Arabidopsis thaliana: one gene and its partner. The protein of the gene in region 2 interacts with the protein of the main gene of each other region in a pairwise test. Each region holds a gene or a part of one and is shown on either strand. Other genes may lie near its edges. The genes, in order: RGLG1 and UBC35.

Region 1 (6,028 bases), on a different chromosome or scaffold from region 2:
AACCGGTTTCTGTATAGTTCGGTTAAGGAGGATATGAAACTATCATCTACGTGGTTCACGAACCGTGGATATGAATAGAATTCACGGTCAGGATCGGCGTTTAGTTTGGTCCGACCTTCGTTGTTAAGTACTAACCTTTGGATCCTACCGGCCGAGGATGATGGTCGAGGATCGGTTTCATCGATTCGGTTTGATATGTTGGTGATTCTTGGTCGGAGAATTCTAGGTTTCAATTGAAATGGAGATTGTTGGAGGTTGAATCGAAGAGAATCCATAAGAAAAAAACTTTCGCTTTATCAAATTTCACAGAAGCGAAGAATCGTTTGTAGAAAAAGTGACAAAATTTATGTAAAAAGAAAGGAATGGATAACTGATGAGTGGTGTGATTATTTCTGCTCTTCCCTACTATTTATTTGGTATGTTTGCTTGTAGCCCAATTTCAGGCTAATGGGCTTCTATTGGGCTATTCATCCATTTATTTCTCATTGCTTATGTCGACAAAACAAATCAAAATTAAAGTGTTTAAGCAATCAACTTTGGTTTAATCGAATCTTGAAAAATCAAAGAAAGCCAACAGACAAATACATAATTCTTACAATCCAATCAAAGAAATTTTATGAACAAGATAAAGTTTAGGAATTCAATCAAAGAACAAAAGAACACTTTAATTTTCTACAGAAAGATCTGAAAATCTCTGGAAGAAATGGGATTTGGGCTGGTCAAAGCTGCATGTCAATGGTGTTGTTAGTAAAGCTTGATTCTGGTCTGGATCGGCGCACGACAAATAGGACACACTTTAAGATCTGGTCCGCATTCACAACAAGTCTGATGGCCACAACCAAACGCCATGTTTTTCGGGTTGCTCAGACATATCGGACATAGCTGTTCAAGGGGAAAATAACACAAACGAGTTTAACAACAAAAAGTTCCAAAGCTCTTATTTCACTTAACATTTCAAACAGATTCCTAAGTTTCTACTAATTACCTGAATATCGTCTGCACTACTCATTTGCTTGCTCTCAAATGGATAAGGAGGTACACTCGGTTCAAAATTCGGTATCCGGGAACTAGAGAATGATGATCCACTCTGCACCGGTGGCGGAAGTGGGATTCTCTGTGGGATATTTCCATTTCTTACCCTGCAAAAATGTAAGGGAAAGAGAAAGGTGAGCATTTTGTTTAACAATATAGCAGTTTCTCGCAGCTACACCTATCAGAGTTTTGATTTGGGTCCCTTACCCTAAAAGGTTAAGCTCTATCGTTGCTTTGTACTGTGGAGGGATCTCCATGAGAGCAGACAGCGCAAACTCTGTCTCCTTCCGAGACTGGTCTTTGTTCTTTGACATGATCTCTGTGAAGTTCACAAACTAGAAACAGAGCAAACATGTTAGAAAAATGGTTCCAAACTGAAGAAAAGAAGCAATCTTCAATGTCATGATATGAAAAAAAGAAGCTTACCTGGAAGTTATCGAAAGCTCGGGCAGGTATGTTATCATCAAATTCCTGCATCATGTCCCATGGTCCATCCCCGACCCCAACTAAGACTATTGACAAAGGAAGGGTACTGTAATAGAGAGGATGAAACTGATTACATACCATAACACTTTATAACATTACACTCAAAGTAAAGAACTTTAAAATGGAAGAAACATTAGTCAAAAGATTGAAATATTCGCACCTTGCTTTCACAATTGCATCTACTGTCTTCTGTTCTTGCGGACTTAGCCGCCCGTGTTCGGTATCGACACTTCTTGTGACCTGAAACAACAAAATGGGTCCACTTTGATATCCCTAGACACAAAACCAGAAGATCATACACAGCTTAGGCAGTCAAAATATTAATCAGTACCTGGCCATCAGCTATAATCACTAACACATGATATTGGCCACTACTCTGCTCAACCACTGTCATTGCCATTTCAATGATCGGGGCAAAAGAAGTTGGTCCTGAAATACATAAGTTCGCAGGAAAAAAAAACACAGTTTTAAGTTTATAACTTGCGTTTCACAAGGAGATATAGAATTGGCCAGTGCAGGTCAGAGCAGGAAATAAACCTGCGAGCTTAAGCTGAGGTACAATTTCTCTATAACGAGCCAATACTTCCTCAAATCCATTACAGAATCTTCCCTCTGGATAGAAACTAAACACGTCTTGATCATGAGTTGATGCTGCAAAGAGATGAAAGCAAGTCAATGATGATCCGATTGATATACATTCTTATGAGAATCGAGAAGAGAGAAAACAGTGCATACCGTCTCCAAAACCATAACAAGGAATTAAGTTATCCTCGTCAAAGGCGGCTAAGGTTCTTCCAATGATAGTAATTGCTTGCTCGTATGGATTCGGGGTATTGCTCAAGTGATGCAAGCTTTTCCTATTGAAGGACTTGGCCCCTGCAGTACCAAAACCAATTAGTTTGGCTTCTCCTTTACATTCAAAACGTAAGAATAAGAATAATATAACAAACCTGTCCATTCATTGCTCTTGGTGAAATCAATACCAACGATTAGATTAGAAGATTCAAGACCTGCACGGCCTAGAGCCTCGGACACCTGGAATCAATTCAGACACATGCTAGATTCAGTTTCCAAAGAACCTTTGAGGGGAAAATCCAAGTGTATAGCATATGCATTGTCTTAAACTAACCTGCAGTAAAGAAGAGTAGTTATCCGATATTTTGGAATACCTCCGATCAAATTTCTTCCTGTCAGCAACTTGACTCTGTGAAGGAGGTGGAGGATAATTAGGCTGTGATGCTGCTGATGCATAGCCCTCTTGACTATACTGATGGCCATAACTGGAAGCCGGAGATGGAGCGGGAGCATAAGTGGGTGGTGGAGGATTATTAGGCTGTGATGCATAACCCTCTTGACTATACTGAGGGCCATAACTGGAAGCCGGAGATGGAGCAGGCACCGGAGCAGGAGCAGGAGCAGGAGATGGAGCGGGAGCATAAGTGGGTGGAGGAGGATAGTTGTAGCTATCAGGTCCATATTGAGGATAACTTTGATGAGAAGCCCATGATGATGAAGATGGTGATGACGACTCTTCTTTGGAATTCCCTCCTCCCATCAAACTTTATTCAAATTAACAAAAAGACACAAACTTTAAGGCTTCAAGATCAATACACCTGCATACAAAGATTCAGATTTTTAGAATCTTATCCTCTTTGGGCCAGAAAAAAGGGGAATCACAAGAAGAACGTAACAGATTCAACATGCAATTACCTAATAGAAAACTCGAAACTTTCTAAGGTGTCCTTGAAAATGGGTATGACTTAAGAACCTAGGGGTGAGAGAGAGCAATTACGACTTTGAAAGAAGAAGAAGAATAGTTTTGCAGAATGAATATATTGACGATGATTATGGAACAGGTGTAATGAGGCGGCGTCTTAATTCTTAAGAGAGAAGATTTATGATTGATGAAGAAGATTCAATCACGTTACCTCCAATTACCGACTTTGAGCCGTTACGTGTCTATTCTATATATGTTTGGATTTTTTCACAATTTTGGAAACAAGAAATTAAGAATTGTAGATTTCATTTAACTTACAAGTAACTTAGGGTTTAAAACAAAACAACTGAAGACAAAATCTGAGGCGTTTTAATTAGAGAGATTTGTCCTAATTAAGATGAAAAGTAGATTTATTCACCAACAACCCAGAAGAGAAGAGGGAAAAACAAAACAGATCAAACTGATTTCGATAGATAACTTAAAAAGATTCTACCAAAAAAAATCCCAAACCTTTTGTATGTGTGAGAGAAGTCGACGAAGAAGAAAAGAGAGCAATAAGACAGAGGTGGTGTTGAGAAGATGAAGCGGTCTTCTTCTTTTTTTGTTTCTTTTCAGGTTGTCAACACTCAACAGGTCAAAGGGAAGGGATCTTAAATGGCGGATTCTATCTATATCCCCAAATTCTCTCCTTTTGTTCAGAAAGCTATCTAACCTTTTTTCTCTTGTTTAATCTTTCACTTTACGTTTCAATCATGAAATCTGGAAAAGATTAGTTGGATTTGTTTATTATTGGCCCACCATGTCCAAGTCCAAGTCCAAGTCCAGACCGATTTCAAAATTTTAATATTTATTACTCGATCAAATAACCATTTTATTTCCATTAAGATTGTAAAAAACACTAGTAGCAATTCGAATTCGTGATTCTGAAACACACACATGTTTTGTTCAGATTTCATCAAGTAGGGTACTAGTAATAGTATAGATTAGAAATTGAACATGTCTGGCACGATTTCTCTTCATTTTCTGCCAAATAATGATCTCTGAATTCTATATTTCTTTTTTTTTCTCCACACTATATCTGCCAACTTCTGTATATACAGTTTCAACAAAACAAAAAAGAGCACAAATATGGCAAATAAATATCATTACTACTTCAATTTTGATCATCTGTTCTTTAGTTCTTTTAATATAATATAAAAAATTGGACCTTAATGTGGAAAAAGAAACAAAACAAACATATTAGTATAAGCCAAGGAACAAACAACAAAAATGGGCAAGAAAAAGAAACAGAACAACCACCCAATTAAAGCTCACATGTTTATTTCTCTGGAAAATGGCTCTATCGTGTGAATAAGAAGACTTGATCAAGGCTTTCATAAGGTCTGAATGTCAGAATCATTCAAACATGAAGGCGCAATTTTTACCGGCTGAAGCGTAAATCCCGCTTTCCTGCATTCTTCTTCCAGAAGTTTCACCTGAGATGGACCTTCAGGGCAGAAAACCACCACTGCTCCTCCACTTCCAGTGAACTTTGAGGCTGCACCAACCCTCCTTGCTACTTCCACCATCTCTATGTTCATTGCTCCTAAGCATTCATCCCCAAACATCCGCCTATCGGGAAAAAAAGACATCACTATTATATGTGTGTATTCCCATCTATTTCAACATCATGTGAGCTTGGAGTTTAATCTTAAGTTGTGTATAGGTTCGAGTTTTGTCTGGAATTATATTTACCTCCGAATGTCGAAATTAAGGTTCATGAGTTCCACAAGTTTGGAATGGTCCTTGTTGAGTAATGCAGTTCGACCTTCTTCTGCTAGACTTCCGACTTCTTTCATTGATGAGATTATAAACTCATCACCGTCTAACCATCTTTGCCGAACCATACTATGTACCTGCATTAGAAGGCAATGCTAATATTATGAAACATCTAACAGAGAGATACTTCTAAATTCTACTGAGTTATGCCCCAAAGATCTGAGTTCTAGTGTCATAAATGCTTTTTGAGGAATTTCACTTGATTGATGCATAAACCAGAATCATTGAATAAGTGTAAGTACCTTCCCTGAGTCGCTCGGATTCTCAGCATAGATGAGATGCAGAGGAGGGAGGAGACTGATATCCATAGGAGTGTAAATCCCATGCCCCAATTTATCCATGTGCTCCTTGCTAAAATCCTGCAAAGTGAAGAAGATGATAAAAAGTCATAAAACCGATGGAACCAACGGCAATGTATGAGATAGGAGGGGAGACACTGACCATGTGAACAAGACCACCATAGACCTGAGCAACCCTGTCCTGAAGACCAGCAACAATGCCAAGTTCTTTCTCAGCACTGAGAACAATGTTAGGGCGGACTTGTACTTTGATCAAATGCCTGACATTGTAGAAGTCGAGAAGGCAGTTAAGGGCAGCGGATACGATGGCACTAGAACCCGAAAGCCCTGTCTGGAAGGAGCATCAAAGTTGAAAAGATAAGCGTTGGTGGCAGAGAAAAGAAAAAAACATAGAGAGAAAGGGGAAGGAAAATGATCAGTACCTGCCTAGGGATATTGGTATCATAAGAAAGAGAGAAGTTGGCTTGGTGAAGTTGAATGTCATTCTCTTTGCAATAGTTACGGAATACTTTACATATCGCCATTAGCAACCTTACCCCACCGTAGTATCCTTCATTTTGCAAACGATTCAGCTACACAAAATCTCAGAATTAGAGCCATGAAGCGTGAAAAATGTTTTACACAATTCAAACTAATAAACAAATGATTTGGAATCTAATGAAAAAAGATGAGCCTG
Region 2 (4,985 bases):
TGAGATGCGAAGATTCATCGAACGTAGATGCAATTCCTGTCTGATGCAGTAGTAGTGGAAGTCTTTCTTTTCCTTCTTCTTCCACGGTTGGTAGACGAAAATTTCACTGCTCCACTTCGGCTTCATTAATATTTTTCATGAAATCTGAAATGTGTTCTTGGTTGGTGGCCTTTTCGCTCTCTACTGATGATGATTCCTTTGGTTGGTGGTTTATGGTAGTGTTTTCTTTTTCTTCTCTCTTTTAATATTTCTTATTTTTTATATCGAGTTATTATTACATTAGGATGATAATGATGATGATGGATGTGGATTTCTTTTCTACAACTTAATTTGTGTTGTGGGCACTCTTCTTTGCCTTATGGTTTGTAATTTGTAAAGCTCTGCTAGTTATTCTTTTTTCGACCTAATTTGTGATCTAATGTAATGGGGATTATCTTTTTAGTTTGGAATGTTCCCGTTGCATGTGGATTGTATTTATTATTTCCTCCTTATTGTTTCTTCCTGAGATCAACTCTTTCCAAAAATACAACAGAATCACCTCATCGGGGAAATGTATATAAATTACAAACTCTCTCTACATCACTGCCAATTTGTAAAAGAAGTAAATTCCAACAATGATCAGTAAGTAACCTATGGATTTTGATGAAACTTAGAATTTACAGAGCTTAGACACTAGAGAAATATAGATATTTTTTACTCAAAAGACTTTGACGAACTTCAAATATAAGAACGAGTATTGATCCTAGGAGTAATGATACAGTGTGATTAAGAGAGATTACAGAGCAGTGGCGGGGGGAAATAACCAGCAAAATATAAGCTTTCTTATAACTTTGATGTTGAGATAGATTTCAGCAAATGTAATGTTATTTGGATGAAAGAGATCTTTTCAGTTTTCACCCTCCAATTTATCATGCGCCGCTTGCATAAAGACGGGTCCATTCCTTAGCTGCACAGATATAGTTCACAAGGATGTGAGATACTAACACAACGTTTAGAAAGAAAGAAAGAAAGAAAGAGTAGAAAGATATTGTAACAAGTTTAAATTCAGTGTTAAAATCACATCACCTGTATCCACAGCTTCTGCCTCATTACTCTTCCAGTGCTTAGCAATGTTCTCAGAAAGCGGATCATCTGGGTTTGGTGCACTCAGAAGAGCTTGAATACTTTATAAGGATTGCACACGTTAATAAAATAGGAGCAGAAGTCAAGCTCCAAGAAACCAATAGTTTTTAGCAGGAAATAATCTTATGTAATCAGCTCATATACCTTAAGAGCACTGTTCGTATTTGTAGTGCAGGGCTCCATTTGTCCTTGAGAATATCAAGACAGATTCTTCCAAGCTGCTCAAATAGACACAAGTTTAGGAGCATGTCTTTGGTTGTGTGGATGACAAAGGAAAAAGAGGAGGGATTTGGAACAGACCTTGTCAATGTTAGGATGGTATATCTTTGTGAGAAACCTAACCTGTAACAGATTAAATCATTAATAGAGTCATTAGAGAATAGAGAAATGCTCTACACAAACCATTTACAAAAAATCAAACGTTCAAGAACTATATCCATATGAAAAGAGAAACAATGACAAGAAATATGACATTACATGTACGTCACTCATAATCCAACCAGAATCATGGATCTCAGAGACCATTTGGTATGTGTACAAATAAATACCAAACCAATATATTCGCTTAATAACTAGATTCTTATAGCTGACACTACTTATAGTCAAATGACTTACCTTGGGAGCTGCCATAGGGTATTCTTCAGGCAAAAAGAGCTCCAACTTGAAAACTCCTCCTATAAGATGGAATCTATCACTCAGTAAAAAGTTAAAATTTTAAGAGAGAGCATATTCAAAGGAGAAAAAGAAAAAAGGTACAAGTTTTAAACTTAGCATCTGGTACGCAACAGAACAAATCGAATGTGTTAATAATAAAACTAAGTACAGTTGTGTATGTATATTCAGGACTATACTTAACACTAGCTAGTGTCACAAACAAGATACAAGAGCATTAGCAATCATTGCTTGACATAAACATGTTGTACTCTCAAAGCAAAAAATCTAATACTCGGATTATCAGAAGACTATTTGACTACCTTCATAAGGTGATTGTGTAGGACCAAGAATCATAACGTTGAAATACCGCATATTATCCTCAGATGGAGAGGCACTTATACCGGGAGCTGCACCAATCAAATCAATCGAAGTTATAATCAGATTTAAATCTTACTCTACAACCAAATTCCAAACTCCATGGACGGTCACGTCTCGGATCCACAATTCAACCATCAAAATTGATATTATCATCTCAAAATCAACACTATAACTCAACAAGGCAGGACGAATTAAAGAGTTTTTTACCCGGTTCACTGAGCAGACGTTGAGTTTCCTATCAGATCGCAAGGAAAACAAAAGTTAAGAGACTCCGATAGAAACAGAGATCGGTAGAGTTTGTCCAAGGAATCAAATCGAGATTGGAAAACAAACCTTGATGATTCTTCGCGGCAAATTACTGTTGGCCATTATCACTTGTCGATCGAGCTCAGAGAGTTAGGGTTTTTGAAGGGAGCTGCTGATGATAATCGAGAACAACAAGTTCGTCGTCGTCGTCTCTCGAATCTGACGAAGATTTTAATTCGATTTCCTTTCTCTATCTTTAAAATTCAACTCTGGACGAATCAAATAATATATTAGCTTTTATTTTACGTATTTTCCCGCAACCTTTGTTTATTGCTAACCCTCCCTAAAGTTCTACTTATTTATTGATTTTTCCCAACAGTTTTCGAATATTACATAGATTTTCTCAGATTTCCGGGCTTATTGGTCCATCAAAGCCATTTATATGTGAGGCCCATATTTATTATAATGGACCTTAACCAAATCCAGTTTATCCATTAAGCTTGTCATTTTATATTGGACTTGTAAAACTTTAAACATTTCATTGGGTTGGGCCGATCTCGAAAGCCCATCAAGAATAATACGACTTTAAAGTAGCGAACTAGGTAGTAGGTTCACTGTGAGTTAGCCGTTGAGGATGTCAGAACGGTAACTATGACGTCAAAAGCTGAGAATTCGAAAACTATCCGTTAGTGATTTTACCCAACGGTAAAGAAAACTTGTCTATATATAGTAATACACACAACACAGTCCTCGTTACTCCTAAATTATCTAATCCAAACCAAGACATGTAGATAGAAACCTATTCTCTTTTTGTCTCTTGTTGTCTGATTCTCTCTTCATCTTCGGCGGCAAAACTCAGCCAATCATCGGTGAGTTACTTTGTACTTTACTTTACGGTGAAAAGCGAAAACTGTGTCTATGTAAAACCTTTGTACATTACCTTTCTGTCTCTATGTACTTTAATTTCCAGTTTCTTTCTTGTTGTATTGTTTGGGTGTTTTTAGTCGGAATTACTCTTCTTGGCTCTTAGTACTTTGTTTTGACCCATGTTGGATTTTGATTTCTATGTTATTCGTATTGTTGATACTTCGTTTAAAACTTATATGTTGACAAATGAATACGGTGCAATGCCTTAATTTAAACCATGAATCTTTTATTTTCGTTATTATTTATTTGATAATAGTCCTAATAATGTTTTTAATCAAGATATAATATTTTTTGCGAGGGATCATTAATTCTGATGAGGAGGACAAAGCTTCAACAAGCGAACAACAATATCCACTACTTAGAGAGCTAAAGCATAAACATGAATTGCAATTTCCGCCAGGTTAGTTTTCAATCCTTTCCAAAAATCAACTACTATCAATAATAATTGAAGCACTTTTTAGTCGAAATACTCATCACTCGAAACACTTTCTAGTGTAAACTTTTTAATTCTACTTTAATAACACACTCATAAACACTATATCATTTAGTAGTAAAACACTCAGTAACTAAAAAATATTTTCTTAAAAAAAGATATGATGCGGAACTTTTAATTAAAACTCACAACTAAAAAATTAAAATAGTTGAAACATACTTAGTAAACACCAAATTATTTTCAACAAAAAATAGTCAAAGTCGTAGCACTGAACCATTCAACCAAAAAAAAACACATTTAACAAGATACACACACGACTAATAAATGTGTATTTTCTTACGTCTTTAAAATTACATTAACACTTAATTAATTCAACAAAATCCCTTTAGCCAAAATTTAGTCGAAGCACTTACTCAAAAAACTTATATCTAAATCCGAACACACGTAAAACACTAGATCAATTTACTTAAAAGTCGAAACATATATTTCCAAGCATACTTCTAAACAAAGCATACTTAGTGAAGTACATTAGTTATACTGTTGAACACAATATTAAATCACGAACACGTACTCCTAAACTAGTCAGGCAAATTACTCCTAACATTTTAGTCAAAACATAGTTATTCGTAACACTTGAAAACACTTCCGCAATTCCGCATTTAAAGGCAAGTGCAAAAATCACACTTTATTTAAAAAAAGCTTATATAAAAACCGTTTTAGGCGAAGTATGAATATTACTTGAACAATTATTGTTTTTACTTCACATTTCGTCGAAGCGTCTGTTAGTCGAAGCCAAGCACAAGTTGAACCACTGTTAGTCGTATCGCTGTTAGTCGTTAGTCAAAACACTTTTTTATGTCATACATTTTGTACGTTGTTATTAAATGTTAACTTGATCGGGAAAAGACCACTCTGTTGCAGGTCGCACACCTTTAACAGTGATCTAATATATCAAAGACAAAAAAAAGGTGGATTGAGATTAATCATAAAAGGAAACAAATACTTTAACAACTTCTCAAAAAAATTGGTGATCAAACTCAGAAAACTAAAAATTGGAACATAGCAACTGAAGAAAATGAAAATGAGGATCTGTTTCGCATCCATATTTCGCAAACTCATTAAAACGTTAATTAATTTTAAAATAACCAAGTGTAGATAACGCAGCTTATCGGATCCGTTGGTATAACGTTGTATGGTCCTCAGTTTGGAAGGAGTGGCGATTTTC

Evidence for each region.
Region 1: the proteins of UBC35 (region 2) and RGLG1 interact in a two-hybrid assay, tested with the Arabidopsis thaliana proteins (one study listed by BioGRID).

What each region holds. Positions count from the first base shown.
Region 1 is NC_003074.8:239,779-245,806, reverse strand, and holds RGLG1 (RING domain ligase1), read right to left. Parts: upstream 4,069-6,028; 5' UTR 3,746-4,068; exon of another isoform or gene 3,229-3,745; intron 3,132-3,228; 5' UTR 3,074-3,131; coding exon 2,648-3,073; intron 2,554-2,647; coding exon 2,469-2,553; intron 2,395-2,468; coding exon 2,254-2,394; intron 2,170-2,253; coding exon 2,056-2,169; intron 1,948-2,055; coding exon 1,850-1,947; intron 1,759-1,849; coding exon 1,679-1,758; intron 1,565-1,678; coding exon 1,459-1,564; intron 1,368-1,458; coding exon 1,240-1,367; intron 1,140-1,239; coding exon 986-1,139; intron 883-985; coding exon 745-882; 3' UTR 523-744; downstream 1-522. Other genes in the region: AT3G01660 (S-adenosyl-L-methionine-dependent methyltransferases superfamily protein), read right to left, coding at 1-275; GLCAK (glucuronokinase G), read right to left, coding at 4,609-4,846, 4,970-5,130, 5,296-5,412, 5,495-5,683, 5,775-5,924. UniProt on the Arabidopsis thaliana protein: E3 ubiquitin-protein ligase that mediates the formation of 'Lys-63'-linked ubiquitin chains. Regulates apical dominance by acting on the auxin transport proteins abundance.
Region 2 is NC_003070.9:29,648,127-29,653,111, reverse strand, and holds UBC35 (ubiquitin-conjugating enzyme 35), read right to left. Parts: upstream 2,737-4,985; 5' UTR 2,524-2,736; coding exon 2,488-2,523; intron 2,390-2,487; coding exon 2,362-2,389; exon of another isoform or gene 2,184-2,361; coding exon 2,097-2,183; coding exon of another isoform or gene 2,094-2,096; intron 1,797-2,093; coding exon 1,738-1,796; intron 1,465-1,737; coding exon 1,423-1,464; intron 1,341-1,422; coding exon 1,267-1,340; coding exon of another isoform or gene 1,254-1,266; exon of another isoform or gene 1,164-1,253; coding exon 1,066-1,163; intron 947-1,065; coding exon 909-946; 3' UTR 501-908; downstream 1-500. Other genes in the region: AT1G78880 (Ubiquitin-specific protease family C19-related protein), read left to right, coding at 1-44. UniProt on the Arabidopsis thaliana protein: Catalyzes the synthesis of non-canonical poly-ubiquitin chains that are linked through 'Lys-63'. This type of poly-ubiquitination does not lead to protein degradation by the proteasome. Mediates transcriptional activation of target genes.